Struthio camelus: one gene and its partner. The main gene of each other region encodes a partner of the protein of the gene in region 2 in a complex. Links are inferred from orthologs where the notes say so. Each region holds a gene or a part of one and is shown on either strand. Other genes may lie near its edges.

What was found.
Region 1: MED4 (region 2) and MED19 share a complex: the UniProt entries of both Homo sapiens proteins name them as parts of the mediator complex. The link is inferred for Struthio camelus from reciprocal best matches to the Homo sapiens genes MED4 and MED19.

The regions. Positions count from the first base shown.
Region 1 is NC_090946.1:7,468,931-7,476,698, reverse strand, and holds MED19 (mediator of RNA polymerase II transcription subunit 19), read right to left. Parts: upstream 3,320-7,768; 5' UTR 3,301-3,319; coding exon 3,102-3,300; intron 2,761-3,101; coding exon 2,504-2,760; intron 2,395-2,503; coding exon 2,298-2,394; intron 2,210-2,297; coding exon 2,115-2,209; intron 1,888-2,114; coding exon 1,819-1,887; 3' UTR 802-1,818; downstream 1-801. Other genes in the region: TMX2 (thioredoxin-related transmembrane protein 2), read left to right, coding at 3,489-3,827, 4,226-4,286, 4,464-4,577, 4,842-4,918, 5,016-5,122, 5,202-5,267, 5,393-5,522, 5,716-5,862. UniProt on the Homo sapiens protein: Component of the Mediator complex, a coactivator involved in the regulated transcription of nearly all RNA polymerase II-dependent genes.
Region 2 is NC_090942.1:192,113,752-192,121,798, forward strand, and holds the start of MED4 (mediator of RNA polymerase II transcription subunit 4), read right to left. Parts: upstream 3,398-8,047; 5' UTR 3,264-3,397; coding exon 3,169-3,263; intron 1,229-3,168; coding exon 1,162-1,228; intron 818-1,161; coding exon 647-817; intron 283-646; coding exon 225-282; intron 1-224. UniProt on the Homo sapiens protein: Component of the Mediator complex, a coactivator involved in the regulated transcription of nearly all RNA polymerase II-dependent genes.

The DNA of each region.
Region 1 (7,768 bases), on a different chromosome or scaffold from region 2:
CCCGAGCGGGAGGAGGGACTGGGGCGGACCGTGGCGTTTGTCGGCAGAGAAGCGGTGCCTGTGGTTCGGCGCGTCCCCCGCTCGCCCTCCTGGCCGAGGAGGGGACGAACGGAGGGCCGCGGGCGGGCCGCGCCGCGCCGCGCCGGGGTTGCCGCGAAGGGCGAAGGCCGCGCTGGCCTGATGCCGAGGTGCTTTTAGGTGAGGGCTATCCTCTTTTTCTTTCCTTTTTAAGCCTCAGGTGCTCGAGCTCCTCTCCCACCTGGGGAGGAGGAGGAGGATGAGGACGGGCTGAGGCTGCTGCCTACTGCGCTGCTCTCCCAAGCGAAGGGTGAGCTCACGCGCCGGGCAGGCCCGCGGGGCGCCAGGCTCGCGCAGAGGCCAGGGCCCTGGACAGAAACCCTTGTGCTCACCAGCCTGGCCGCGCTCATGGTTTTAGCTGTTTTTTTTTTTTTTAAATGTTTCCCCAGGTTTTTTTTTTTTCCTTTTAGTCTTGTTTTGTCAGGTCCGTTAAGAGTTTTCCTCGCTGTCACACGGTTGTTTTTAATTTCCGTTCGGGGAAAGAGGAAGGCCAGCGGGGCACAGCCCCGTAAAGCAATATTTTTCTCATCCCATGCCAAAAAAAAGCAGCCGAGGAGTCCAGCGCTCCCCCATCACCTCCCCCCCCCCCCAAAGGGCTACCCAACTTGTGCAGGTGCAGTGAAACTTTAGGCACTACTCGACTCTTTCTCTACGGCAATATGTCTCCTGTGGCCTCTGCAGAGCCATTGGATTTTTTTTTTTTTTTAATTAGCCATTTTAAAATGAGGAATAAAAGGAGATTTAATGAGCCATCGCAGGAGCCACGCGTGTGCTTTGTTTAGCATCCAGGGATAGAGGGGCCCCTCCTGCGGCTCACCTTTCCCTCCCACCGCGCAAGGGGGAGAGAAAGCTGGGCCGCAGCAGAGCAGCGAGGGGCCCCCAAGCCCAGCAGCGCTAAGGTGTAGTGCCTCCGGGCCGGGCCGCCCTCACCGTAGGGATTACCCCGATTTGAGGACGGGCGCCCGTGGGCAAACTCCGCTCCCGCCACAGGTCAGCGTTTTGTCAAGGGGCCGAGTCGGGCTTCTCGGGTGTCCGACGTAAGCGGCTTCCAGGGCACAGTCGCGCAGGAGCCTGAGCCGCTTCGGGGACCGAAGGGACGCCCTACGGCCGCTCCTCGGCCGCTGTCGCAGCTGGCCGGCGCTTCCAGCGCTGCGACACCTGCCCTGGGGCTCGCTGCCGGCCTCGGCACCTCGCCGGGGTCGCCGCTGTCCTCAGCGAAGCGCCGCTCAGCGGAGTGGAGGGGTTCTGTATTCAGCTGAGCAGCCGCAGCCAAGGTAGGACCCCTCTTTCCCGGCAGTCAGATCCTGCCCCGGGCTCCCCCCTCCCCCTTCTGCCTCAGTTTCCCCCCCACGCCTGCTCCCTAAGGCAGCACCGCTCACTCACGCCCCACGTGTCCGCTCCGCGCCCTGGCACAAGGGCCGACGGTGGCAGCAGCCACAGTCACCAGCCCCTCCTCGGAGCAGAGCCTTTTTAATTAAAAAGTGAATAAAAAAAGAGAGCCCGATGCACCGCGTTGTTTTGGTATAAAAGGCCACAGGCAGCAACTCCCCACAGCGGTTCCAGCGGAGTCCGTGACTCCTGCCCTCCGCAGGAAGCGCACGTGGGTGCTTTGGGGACGTCCTCTCCGCCGGGGGGACAGGCCAGCCCGAGTGCCCCCACCGAGCCCGGCAGGAGGGACGAGTCCGTCTCGGGTGAGCTGAGGCCGTTCCCGTCGGCTGGGAGATCCACGGAGCGGACGCCTCACCGCAGGCTGCTGCTGCTGCTGGCCTGGGAGCTGCCCACGCCCGGGTGCTCCGGGCTGTGCCGGTTCTGGCAAGGAGGGACAGAGGCACACGCGTCCCCGTGAGCCCCGAGCGGAGCCCGCCCGCCACCGGCGCCCTCCCAGCGTCACTCAGCCCCCTCCAACCTCCTGCTGATCAGCGGCCCGGGGAAGGGCTGCTCGGCAGCTCCCGGGGCCAGGCAGCTCCTGGGGGGGCGCGCGGGGAGGGCCTGGGCCCACAGGGGCCGTGGGTGAGAGCCTGGCTCTCCCCACCTACCTTCTTTTTCTTCTTTTCCTTCTTCTTCCTCTTCCGCTCAGGATCCTCCTCTTTTTTCTTCTTTTTCTTCTTGTGGTCAGAGTCCGAGGGGGTTTCTGAAGGAAGGGAGAGAGCTGGGTCAGTGGGGTGCCCAGCGGGCTTCTCGTGGTGAGGGGTGCTGCGGGAGCCAGGCGCGTCCCTTACCCGGGGGGACGGGATCCTGGGTGCGGCTCTGCTTGTGCTTGTGCTTGTTCTTCTTCTTGGGCGGCTGGATGTGCATGAGCCGGCACTGCTCCGGCAGCTGCCCAGAGAGAGAGACAGAGAGGGCGAGGGGGCCCGTCAGCCCGCGCCAGGCCTCCCTCCCTCCCTCCCTCCGCGCTGCCTCTGGGCCTGGCAGCGCCGGGGCTCACCGGGCCGGCGTGGAGGCGGAAGCCGGTGAGCATGGTGCCGGTGAGGGGGGTGAAGGAGCTGCCGCAGATGGGGGGCTTCTCGATGAGGGAGCGCAGGCTGCTGTTGTCGTGGGAGCCGGGCAGGTCGATCATGCCCGGCAGGTCGGGGAGGAAGTTGCTGAGTTTCTCCTTCACCTTCTTGCCGCAGAACTTGTTGTAGGCGTGCTCCAGGTTGTAGTGCGTGATGAGGTTGGTGCTGCCCGTCAGCTCCGTGGTGCCTGCCCGCCCCCACCGCCGTCCATGTTGGCGGGAGCCAGGGCAAAGCACTATGGGATACCTCTGCGAGGCCCCAGTCCCGCGCCCTTCCCCTATTGGGTGGTGCGCCGCTCAGCCCCGCCCCTCCTCTTGCATCCCATTAGCCGGCCGGGCTGTCAGTTTGCGCCTCGTTCTCCCTCTCCCCCCCCCGCACCTTATTGGCCCACCGCGCTGTCCGTTACCCCCCTCCGGAAGCCCGGTGCCGCTTCCGCGCGGCCAATTGGCGGAGCGCCCCGCCTATCGCGGGCGGCGCCCGCCTCCCGCGCGTTGATTGGCGGAGCGCCCCGCGAGCCCCGCCCCGTACCTGGCAGCTCCCGCAGCAGGTAGAAGGGGCCGGCGGCGGCGGCCTTGCGGGCCGCGTCCTCGCCGGGCGGCGGCGCGGCGGCGGCGGGGGGCGGCCCGGCCCCGGGCCCCGCCGCCTTGGCCGGTCCGAAGCCCAGCGCGGCGGCGGCGGCGGCGGGCGGCGGCTCGGCCCCGCCGAAGAGCGCCGAGAAATTCTCCATGCTCCCAGCGTGCCCCGCGCCGGGGGCGGGCTGGCCGCACCGCCCCACCCTATGGGGGGAGAGCCGCGCCCCAGGCACTCGGCTTAGATTGGTTGAACGCTGCCTACGGCCCGCCCCTTCCCCCCCGTTGCTACGTGCGGCGCGGACCGAGTATCCTGATTGGCCGCCTCCCCGCCTTCTGCGGCTGGATGTCGGAAGAGCTTGGCAGCGGGGCCGCGCCATTGGCCAGCGGCGGAGGAGCCCCGCCCACCGCTGACGAGCAGGAGGCCGGCCCAATAAGAAGAGCCCCGCTCCGGCCGTACGGTGGCCGGCAGAGCTCGGCGGCGAGCGGAGGGAAGATGGCGGTGGTGGCGCCGCTGCTGGCGCTGCTGTACTCGATGCCGGCGCTGTGCCGCTGGCTGGCGCGGCCCTACTACCCGCTCTCGGCGCTGCTCGCCACCGCCTTCCTGCTCGTCCGCAAGCTGCCGCCGCTCTGCCGCGGCCTGCCCTCGCAGCGGGAGGACGGCAACCCCTGCGACTTTGACTGGGTGAGGCGGGCTGCCGCCCGCCCGAGCCCCGTGTCCCGCCTGTCCCCGACGTCCTTCCTGCCCCCGGGCCCGCTCTCCTCGCGGCTCCCCGGCGCTGCCGAGGGAGGGCCGGGCCTGGCGCCCGCCGGCAGTGCTCTGCCAGCCCCGGCCCGCCGCTTGGGGGCTCCCTGAGCGCCTCGGGGACGGCGGCCCCCTTTCCTGGCTGTGCTCGCAGGCCGCCTCTCGGTGCTCGGGAGGGAGAGGAGCTGAGGGATGGCACGGGGGAGCAGCGGTGGCGGGGGGCACAGCCGCCAGGTCCCTGTGGCAGGCTGGGCTGGGAGCGCCCTGGCTCTGGGCGGGCGGTAGGGCCGCAGGGTCTGGTGGGTGCCTCCTGCTCACCTCCTCTCTCCTGTGCCCAGCGGGAGGTGGAGATCCTCATGTTCCTCAGTGCCATCGTGATGATGAAGAACCGCCGCTCCAGTGAGTCGGGGCCTGCGTTGTTGGGTGGGCGCGGGGGGCTGCGGGGCAGGGCCTGCTTGTGGACCATCCCCTGCAGAGCTGGATGGAGTAGGAGCCAGAGGAAGGGGGGGAGTTCGGGGAGTGGCGGCTGAGAGGGGATGGGGGAATCTGGCCCTGGCTCTCACCCCTCTCCCCCAGTCACTGTGGAGCAGCACATCGGCAACATCTTCATGTTCAGCAAAGTGGCCAACGCCATCCTCTTCTTCCGTCTCGACATCCGCATGGGCCTGCTCTACCTCACGCTGTGCATAGGTGAGACCCGCGGGGATGGGGGCACCAGGGGCCGCAGCGGTGCCCCCCGGCTCCGCTTGCCCCGAGCACAGGGTGTCCATAGCGCTCCTCCGTACAGGCCCAGAGGGGTAGTCCGGGGAAAGAGGAACCTCATCCTGAACCGAGCCTGGCTCTCTTGGCCGCTTTCGGGGCGGGGGGCAACGGGTGTGTGGGTGAGGGTAAGGGCCTCTTCCCTGCGGGAACAGGCCCGTCCAGGCAGCGGGTTCACGGGCGCTGTCGTTACAGTGTTCCTGATGACCTGCAAGCCGCCCCTCTACATGGGTCCCGAGTACATCAAGTATTTCAACGACAAGACCATAGACGTGAGTATGTCCTCTGCGGGCCGGGCCGGGGCACGGCGGCGCCGGAGGGGGCGCTGCGCCCCGCCGCGCCCCGCCAAGCCGTGACCCCGTGCGGCAGGAGGAGCTGGAACGAGACAAGCGGGTGACCTGGATCATCGAGTTCTTCGCCAACTGGTCCAGCGAGTGCCAGTCCTTCGCCCCCATCTTCGCCGACCTCTCTCTCAAGTGAGCGGCGCCCACCAGGGTTTGGGGCGGGGGGGAGACACAGTCATGCTCGGCGCTCTCAGCTGCGTCTCTCCGCCAGGTACAACTGCTCGGGGCTGCACTTCGGGAAGGTGGATGTGGGCCGGTACACGGACGTCAGCACCAGGTCTGCGGGGACGGGGGAAGGGGACGGCCCCCATCAGCAGAGCCCCTATCCGGGCAGAAGGGGGAACGTCTGGGGGGCCCCCGGGCCCCTGCAGCTCCCGCAGGCTCACCGTCCGCCTCCCGCAGGTATAAAGTCAGCACCTCGCCCCTCACCAAGCAGCTGCCCACCCTCATCCTCTTCCAGGGCGGGACGGAGACCATGCGTCGCCCACAGATCGATAAGAAAGGTCGAGCCGTGTCCTGGACCTTCTCAGAGGTGGGTGGAGACCTTCCAGCCCTTGGCGTCCTCCAGCCTCTGGGGCACGACGCGGTTCAGCACCCGGCCCCGGAGGTGGCTGGTGGCTCCCAGCACTGCGGGAAGGGCACTCGGGGCTGTGGGGGGGGGGGGGGGGGGAGGAAGGTGTGGGAGATGCTGGCGGGTGCTGACACCCGGCCCATCTGGGCTGCAGGAGAACGTGATCAGGGAGTTCAACCTCAACGAGCTCTACCACAAAGCCAAGAAGCAGTCGAAGCCGCGGGATGAGGGGCCCGAGGAGGCGCCCGAGGCGCAGGCGGCCGCCGGCCTGGCCAACGGGGAGACCAAGAAGGACAAGTAGAAGCTGACAACGCTGCTGTTGCCCCCCCCCCTCACCCCCCAAGTTGCAGGAGGGACCTGCACCCCGCGCCACCCAGGGGGTCACCGCGGCCGCCCGGTGCAGTGGGGTGTGGGGCCCGGTACGAGGCGCCCCGGCCCCGTGCCCGCGGGGGCTGGGAGGCGGCGGGGCAGAGCCGCCCCGCACCGGTGAACGCTCATCCTCATGGCTGTCAATAAACGCCCGCAGCGCCCCGCCGTGTCCCTGTGCTGCGCGGCGGCGGCGGCGGCGGCGGCGGCGGCGGCGGCGGCGGCGGGAGGGGACCGCTCCCCGGTGTGCGTGGGGGGGGGGGGAAATCACGTGGGCGCTGAGGGGCTTGGCCACGCCGCGGCTGCCGCGTCGTGATTGGCTGCGCCTTCCGCGCTGGCTACATAACCGCGGGAAGGGGGCGGGGGGAGCGGGCGGAACCACTGTGCCCCATGGGGGGGGGTTGCTCCAACCCCCCCCCAAATTCCCCCCCTCGCCCCGGGGTGCCCGCGGGCGGTGAAGCGGGCGAGCGGTGACGGAGTGTCCGGCCGCCGTGCGGCGGGGGGGGCCGCGGCGGCCCGCTCGCACCGGCGGGCTGCGCCGCGCCGCTCTGCCCCGTGTTCCCCCCGCCGGCGGCGGTGCCGGTGGCTCAGCCCGCAGCGGTTCCCCGCGCCCCGCCACGTGCCCGGCCCGGCTCGGCGCGGCGCAGAGCAGCGCGGCAGGTAGCGGCGGCTCCGCGGCTCTCCCCTCCCCGCCCCCGGGGGGTCCCCGGCCTTCCTCGGGTGGGGGGGAACCTCGCCCCCCCCCCCCCCCCCAGCCGCGGCCCGCTCCCGGGGCTCCTCCTCCCTTGCTATCCGCCCGGCGGGGCCCCCCCGGCGCTCAGCCCGCCCCGGCTCTCCCCAGCATGGCTCCCCGGCGCAAGAAGCGCGGCGCCCCGGAGGCGACCGAGGTCCGGGCAGAGGAGGAAGCGGATGCGCCGCAGAAGCGGGTCCGGGGCGGCCCCGGGGGGAGCGGCCCCCGCGTGGTCATCGAGCACTGGTGAGCGCTGCGCCCAGGCCGCCGGGGCTGCTGGGCGGGGGGGGGGTGCGGGGCGAGGGGAGGGGGGCTGCTGGATGGGGGCTGCTGGGCGAGGGGAGGGGGGCTGGATGGGGGCTGCTGCGCGAGGGGGGTGTGCTGGATGGGGGCTGCTGCGCGAGGGGAGGGGGGCTGCTGGGTGGGGGGGGTGTGCTGGATGGGGGCTGCTGGGCGAGGGGAGGGGGGCTGCTGGGTGGGGGGGCTGCTGGGCGAGGGGGGTGTGCTGGATGGGGGCTGCTGGGCGAGGGGGGTGTGCTGGATGGGGGCTGCTGCGCGAGGGGAGGGGGGCTGCTGGGTGGGGGGGGTGTGCTGGATGGGGGCTGCTGGGTGAGGGGGGTGTGCTGGATGGGGGCTGCTGGGTGGAGGGGGTGTGCTGGATGGGGGCTGCTGGGCGAGGGGAGGGGGGCTGCTGGGTGGAGGGGGTGTGCTGGATGGGGGCTGCTGGGCGAGGGGGGTGTGCTGGATGGGGGCTGCTGGGCGAGGGGAGGGGGGCTGCTGGGTGGAGGGGGTGTGCTGGATGGGGGCTGCTGGGTGAGGGGGGTGTGCTGGATAGGGGCTGCTGGGCGAGGGGAGGGGGGCTGCTGGGTGGAGGGGGTGTGCTGGATGGGGGCTGCTGGGTGAGGGGAGGGGGGCTGCTGGGTGGGGGGGCTGCTGGGCGAGGGGGGTGTGCTGGATGGGGGCTGCTGGGCGAGGGGGGTGTGCTGGATGGGGGCTGCTGGGCGAGGGGAGGGGGGCTGCTGGGTGGGGGGGGTGTGCTGGATGGGGGCTGCTGGGCGAGGGGAGGGGGGCTGCTGGGTGGAGGGGGTGTGCTGGATGGGGGCTGCTGGGC
Region 2 (8,047 bases):
GCACTGGAACAGGTTGCCCAGAGAGGTGGTGGAGTCTCCTTCCTTGGAGATGTTCAAAAGCCATCTGGACACGATCCTGTGCAACATGCTCTAGGTGGCCCTGCCTGAGCAGGAGGGTTGGACTAGATGATGGTCTAGATCCCTTCCAACCTCAACCATTCTGTGATTCTGTGAACCCTCCTTATAACTGCTTTTGTGTAGTATGTACAAGCATGGATACTCACCTTTTCTTGCCTTTTCAATTGATTTCAGCTTCTCCTTTGCTTGATAAACAGCTGTTGCCTAGTTGTAAAAAACAAAAAAAAAAACCCAACCTCCAATGAATCATTCATTTGTAAACTTACGCATAAAAATGGCTCTGTGAATAGATCCTTGCATTTAATTGCATTTTGATGGATAAACCATTCAGGGAACATTTTCAAAATATATAAAAGTAAACTAGCTTTGGAAGAAAATTAACATTGTAAAACAAAACTGAATGCCCCGATAACTAAAAAGCGTTTGCCTACTGAAAAGAAAAACTCCGCTAAGCGGTTGTGAAGTTTTAAATATTGAATCTTTTCAAACTAACACAACACTGTTTTCTCCAGAACCACCTTTTTCAGAAGTAGGTGCTTAAAAGCAAGCACAGCACCTTTGAACTTACCAGTATGTGCTCTGCTTCTTTTAGTTGCTTCTGCAGCTGCTGAATATCACTATCCCTCTTTTCTACTACCTTTTCTAAAAGCTGCATTTCATGATGAATTTTCCCCTGATCAACTGCCAGCTTCATTAGCTCTTGAAACTCTCCATCCCTCTGAATCAGCAGCTCCAGGATCTGTCAGACAAGAGTTTCATAGAACTTTTAATTTAGTCAGAGTAACAGCATACCCACAATTATGCAGCAAGGAAGAACAACTGATATCTACATGAGTATTTCTGTTTGCATGCCAAATGAAACAAACTTCTCGCTCTGTTTGCAGAAACAACCTATGAAGCATGCAGTAAAGAAAATAAACAAAAAAGCACCACAAGGACCAGGAATATCATTTTAGTGTGGCCAAAAACTCATCATCATCATTAGTCTAAACATACGCAGGGACAAGAGAGGAAAAAAAAAAGAAAGAAGTAAAGTAGAACATCTGACCACACAAAGAAATACTGTTAAGAAAGTTAGTTTACCTGGCTTTCTTCTCCTGGTTGCGGAAGCTTCTGGTTTCTTGAAATTGCCAGTATTTCAATTAGTTCTCTGAAAAGAAAACTGTGTATTTATACAACTTGCTATGCTATTTTTTCTATGCTATTTACAAATCAGACTAAGTCATCCCAAAATTTTCAGAGTACTGACAGCATTACAAAAGTACTCACATGCTTGAGCATTTTGTAGTTTTGTAGCATAGCTGTGTCAGGGATTTCTCAACTTAGAAAGAAAAAAATGTGCTCAAATCATGAGACTATTCACATAATTATTTTTTCTCCTTTGAGCTCACAAAGCGAGCACAAATGCACATGAGCAAGAAACGTGCCAAACTGAAAGAGACATAAATAGAAGCTGGGAGAAGAAAAAAGACAATGAAATACATTCGTGCTCTAGTTTTATCACCCTTGTTTATTGCAAGAGAACATGAAAGTATAAGTTGTTATCATTATTTTACTTCTCTACTTTTTCTCTGTTTTTACAACAGAGCAAGTTTCACACTTGGGTTTAGAGCAATTAAACCTACGCTTTCAAACATTTAAAGAGTTTGTTGTGAAACTATTATTATTATAAAAACAAGTATTCTCACAATGGTATATCAGCTGTATATCAAATACATACAAAAATATGAATAAACTAATAATATTCTGGGACTAGGTTAGAAGGGCATCTCAACTAAACCTCTTGATTGTGCCTCCATATACCCGTTTACTTTGCCACCATTATGAAAACCTGTCAGTAACCTCTAAAGGGACTTGCTAAACAACAACACCATGATGCAAAAAGGCACTTGGTGTAAATGGGGCAAATATGTTTGGCTTCTAATGACATGGGCTGAAGTTCAGTGCTGTGCATGTATAAGTTTATCTGAAGCAGGCTCCTTTGCTCCTACCACCAAGGCAATATCATGACTGTGAAAGGTCTAATGCCATGGTGCTTCAACACTTTGCTGATTAACAGGAAGATTCACAAAAATATTGCTGAGGGATGCTCTGGATTCATTATGATGGAATCTTAGTCCCCCTAAAAATCAGTAAACATTTAGATAAAGAGCAAAATGTTTTTTCCTAAAACAGCAGATGTTCTCCCCCATTCCAGCAACCCAAAAGTCACAACAAAATCTAAAACTGAAAATAAAACCTAACTAGAAAGAAGAAGAGCAACTGGACAGTATACTGTCCTTGTCCTACCTGGGGTAATCAGAAAGAGCGAACCAGCCACATGAACACTTTAGATTGCTCCCTGTGAAAAAGTTTTCCTAAGCTCCTGCTCTCCTTGCGAGGAAGAAGATAATTAGCAACCAGTTTCACTGCACTGCTAGCTGGGACTCCCACAACATGGTGGACAGCTTGGATGGGGAGCTGCAGTCCAGCCTGAAGAGCGCGGGCTACCTACTTGAGCATTTGCATCACTCCAAGGACACGCTTTACAGCCTGCTTTGACAGAGTTGAACTGGTAATGACCAGAACGGCTTAAGTCGTGCAATACCATCTACAGAGCTCTGACATATGCGCCGTTTTTCAGTGAATAATAAAACGCTTCAAACCTCTTCTGTGAAGGGGGGGTGGGGAGACTGTCTCAACAGGAAACGCAGGTGACAACCAAGAAAGGAAGGCAAGCCGAAGAATAAGGAAGCTGCCCGTTCTGCTCTGAGAACACGGAATACGAGGAAGCGTCTCCGGCGGCGCCCCGGCGGGGCAGGGGCCCTGCAGCAGACGCAGCACGCACCCCGCTGCCCCAGGAGCCGGCCTGGAGGCGGTGCCGGGGCGGCGGCAGCAGGAAAACGCAGGGCCCCGTGCCGCCCCGGCGTTGGGGTCGGGCTGATCTCCCCCCTCCCGGGCCCCCTCAGCCCCCGGCGGCACCCGCCCCGGCTTCGGCTCGCCGGCGCCGTCCGAGGCTCCGCGCCCGTACAGCGCCGAGCACCCTCTGGCCCATCGGCCGCCGCCCGAGCTTGGCGCCGTCTCAGCCGGCGCGCGGCGGGAGCGCGGTACCTGGCCAGGAGCTCGAGATCCTCCAGCGCCGCCAGGAGCCGGTCCCGGGTGCTGCTTCGGTCCCCGCCTCCCCCGGCCGTCGCCGCCGCCATCATGATCCCGGCTGCGGACCCGAGCGAGAACCGGCGGCGGCACCAGGCCCGCGCTAGGCGAGGCGGCAGCGCCCCCCTCAGCGGAGGTGCGAACTGCAGCCGCCCCACCCCCACCGCCTCCCCGGCCAGCGCATGCGCAGTGCGGGGAAGGGTGGGGAGGGCGGTTCCTTCCCCCTCCCCCTCCTCCCCCAAGCGCGGCGGGCGGGGCGGGGCTGAGGGGTGGGTAACGGCTGCCGTGAGGCGAGGCGGGAGGGCGGCGCTGGCGCTGAGGCGGGCGCTGAGGAAGGGCCGGGAGGGGGGAAGGAGTTCAGCGGGGCTGGCTGGGAAGGGCGTGTGGGTGTGAAGGAGAGGTGGTCTCGTCTCCCCCGTCTGCCCCCGAGGCAGTGTTTGTAAACGACCCCCTGCTGGAGCTGGGCCGTTACTCAAGGGTCAGGACTTGTTGTTTTACATGCGTTTCCAGTCCCCGGGTTTTGACCGAAGAGCCTCTCGGTGAGACTCAGATGTACCCTGCAGACGGGGAAAACGAACCCAGAGAGAGGGCTTGCCATTGAACAGCGTCATAACTTTGTTAACTCTATGCTCTCTGACACCCAAAAATCCCTTAGGTGCTTTTTTTAGTTGGAGGCAGGAATCGCGTTTTCCTAATGACTTAAGAAAACTAAGTGATAACGAAAACGTAACAAAACCCTAAGCTTTAAATCGGGCAGAACCCTGAGCTCCTACCTGGGTTTTGTGTCAGGCAAGCAACGAGGCCTCACAATGGCCAACCAGAAGCATGACTTGCATGTGCAGACCTCTAGGTGCAACCTAAAGGTGGCTTTGCATGAATTACAGGGTGCTGCATGCAGCGATCAGCTGGTGGGGCAGTTAACAGATGCAAACCCTGCCCTTGAACCTGCAGACAATCGAGCTATATTTTAAAAATACCATTTATTTTTAAATGTTGCTGTATATGGTCTGATAACTGCAAACCGACCCCTAGCTCTGGGTGGGGTCACAGTGAAGCCAGTGGAATTTCTGAAATTCATGAAACTGGCAGTAATGTGAAGAGATAGAGGCTGAAGCTAAGGTGGAGGGCAAGATCGGAGAGCACAGAGAGAAAGCTAATCAGGGACCGAGGTTTATAATTCTGTGAGCACTTCCACTGAAAAACGTGGAGTCCCCAGACTCCGCCATCTTCTGTTGTCAGCAGGCAGCTGCAAAAACCCCTAGCAAACAGTGATTCTCATCACTCTTGATTAGAGAAAGTAGTAGATAGATGATAACATCTCTGACTGCTCTGGTGTTTACTCTGATTATCTTTTTACCTACTGCAATAAGTTTGTCCCTGAGAAATTTACTTATTAAAAAAAAAAAAGGAAAGGCAAGATGCTCGTTAATCAATGATTCTTTGAATTGTGGTTTAAGAAATCAATTGAACATTACGGGATTTGTAATAAAGTAATGAGATTTGGCAACCCCAAGAAGAAGAAAAGTCTGCCAACAGGAGTTTCTTAAAATTCATTTACAGTATACAACAGCATTCAAAGTTCCAATCTGTAGATAGTTTGGGAACTCTCTTTAAACTATGGAGCAGAGAAAATCTCATCAAATAGTTCTACACTTTTTTGCTTGCCCTTTTTTTTTTTTCAAAAATACAGTATTATTTCCCTGATTTTGTTCAAGAAAAGATGTAATCAGTGAAGCTGTCTGGTTGTGCCTCCAATTCACTGATTTGTTACAATGTCTCCATGGGTGTGTAAACAGAAATAACAACTTTGGAAAATAAAGCAATCCTCTAGAGTTGAAAATAAAACAATCCCTCTGCTGAATTATTTTCTTCCCTCACATTCATTTTTTAACATCTGAATTGGTCAGAAGTATTGGAGTACTTCTAAAATATTTCAGGGCTGTACTACTAGTTTCACTAGTTAAAAATTTATGGCATCAGCGGGATACCCAAACTTAACAGCCCAAAGGGTAAATATCGGTTGTAGGAGGTTGCTGGAGGCTGATCTTTGCCTCCCACTCCTTATGTCCAAGGAGCTGCTCTCTCGTTCCTTTTGACAACAGTGCTTTTCCCACCCAACCATGCCAATACCCCACAATCTTTCAGTGCAGCAGCTGCCCTCTTCTTTCCCCTTCACAAACTGCTGACCTTCATCTATGCAGCATGGACATCTGACTGCTTCTTATAAAGTCTGGAGTCCATCCCCACTCATTCCCCTGGAGATGCAGCAGTGGCTGTGAAGTGCAGGCCCCTTGGCAGAGACTTATTTGTCCAAATTGATGCTCCTACTTCTGTGTAGGAGGATAGGATGAGCCTCAAGGCCTCAGGGAATGCCTGGCTGTGCAGAGACACAGAAAATCCTTCAGACTATGTCGGAGCGGTCGTCTCCTTTAGGACTAAGGGAGAGGCTGGGTCAAATAGGCTTGTGCCCCAAACTTGGCTCATGGGCCCATTGGGGTAAGATTGAGTGGCTGATTTGCTGAATTGACTTTTGAAACACTTACCCGGACAAAGCAACAGAACCTCTGTTTCCTCGGTTCTTCAGTGCTTTTGGTTTTCTTTCCCCTGGGTAAACTTTGTCATAGATGGGTTGGTTTTGAGCCAGATATACGCCTTAAAAGCCTATGCCCTTCCTGAATAACTAAGCATTGTTGCCTAATTTGCTTTTAGTAGTCTGAGAACATTTTAAGTTGTGCAGCCGTGACTATATCTTTCCATTCACAGTGAGATTATGAGACGTTTCAGATTCTCTTTGATTTCAGATTGTCTTTTTAATGGCACATTGATCACAGTATTAAGAATCTGTTAGCACAAGCAAAAATAGCTTGCTTCATCCTGCTCAACTGAGTTTTATCTGTTCTAGAATCAACCTTTCGGTGATGATCTGCTGAGCAAACTGATTTCTACAGCTGCAGATCTATGAAGAGCTGATCTGATCTAAGAGTTCACCAGCTCTGAAAAGCAGATATGTTGCTCACTCCTCATCTCCCAATCGCAGATGGTTGCCCTCCCTTACATCCTTCATCATCATATGCTTCCATGAGCTACTTAATAACAAGACAGAAAAATACCTAATGTTTTTGTTGGGTTCATTTCCTTCTGGGTTAATGAGTGAAATCTGATCGTGGAGGGTCTTAACAGTCAGGAGCAGAGAGGAGAAGAGGAAGAGGGGGTGTTCCCCACATAAGTGTTAGGTCACCTAACCTCAACTTGTGGAACCATACCTTCTGAGTACAGTTTTAGGGTGCACCTAATACAGTATGACTGGAGGCTAATGCTGAAAAGTGCAGTCTTCTCCATCTCTCTTCAGCCATGTATTCTGTCTTCCTCCCTCTTACATGAGATCCTGTACAAGTGAGACTGCGGAATGAAACAGCTGGGCAAACCAGTTCAATGGAAAATGCTTCATATTTTTTGGTGGATTTGTCTTCTGTCAGATGAGCTCATTGGAGCAACTGACTTCAAGGCTAACCATCGCTAGATCACTAGACACAAGGGAATGTGTGGCCAGAGGAAGGAAAGCAGGATGCTACTCTTATTTCTAGTTAAGTGAAATTCAAGCGTAGGATTCATCTGATGCAAAGCCTTTTTTTTTCAGGCTACCATTGGGATTTCCTAATTCCTCATCTTATTACCTTAGCTAATCATGAAGTAGAAGTTTGTCTTAAAACTTAGATGTTGAACCACAGAGAACTTCAGAGCAGATATATGTTTTAATTTCAGTCTGCGTCTTTTCCAGGCCACTGTGCTCTTCATCTAGCTTGTTATTTATATGTTGCAGACACTAACCATCAAGTGTTTAGCTGGTAGATGTTTGGATACCACACCTTAAAATAACAATGGACTATTGAAGATAACTTAAATCCTGAAGGCCCTCAGGTGTCTGACCATGGATAATAAAACACTTCAAACAGTACAAGTAGAAAGGCAGTAGGGTAATCAAGGGAAGCAAGTAGGAAAAACAACAGAAAAAGTACTCCTATCCACTTCCCCTCGATAATGTAAAAATAAAGTCCTTTCTGTCAAATATCAACTGAAATAGAAATCAAACATCTTGAGCGCTGTTTGGAAGGATGCCACCGTTGTACTTTGGCCTGTGGAGAAGAGAATAATCATCCCGTGTTTGTCAAGCTGTCTTTACACCATTAATATTTTTAAATGCCTCTGAAAAATCATCTGTATCTTATTGCTATTTTAAAAGACATCTTTTTTTTTCCATGCTTACATATGTTGGGTAGCACTTTAGACCAGTGAGATGAGAGAAAAAAGAAAAAGGTGGTTTTGCTTAGCCGGTGTAATTCTAAAATAGGTTAAAGATGAGACAAAAATAGATAATACTATGAGCCAAAGCTTATTTTTTGTGGAAGTAGTGTGAAACACTACTGCATATGGTCAAAACCAGAGTTTGATATGCCATTCCAGAGTGTTCCAGCACAAAATTAGCTCCGCTTTGAGCTATATTAAACCTAAGTTACACTGATTTCTGCTGGTATAAATCTAGGCACAGAGCCCTCAAGACAGGAAGTCACCCAGGCAGAAAGCTGCCGCAACTTTCAGTCTGCTGGAGGGCTTGTTGGGACCAGTGCTGCCTCTGGAGTAGGAGGTGTTGAGTGGGAGAGAGAAAGAACCAGAATTGGCCCTGGATGGTGATTAAAAAAAAAAAAAAGTCCTTATGACAAGGGAGAGCTTTTTTTGCCTGGCCACTAGAGATGTTGGCAATTCTGCCAAGAATTCCCAGGAGTAGGGGAAGATATAGGGGCAAACTAAATGTGAGATCTTTTCCCTCGCTAAGCCAAAA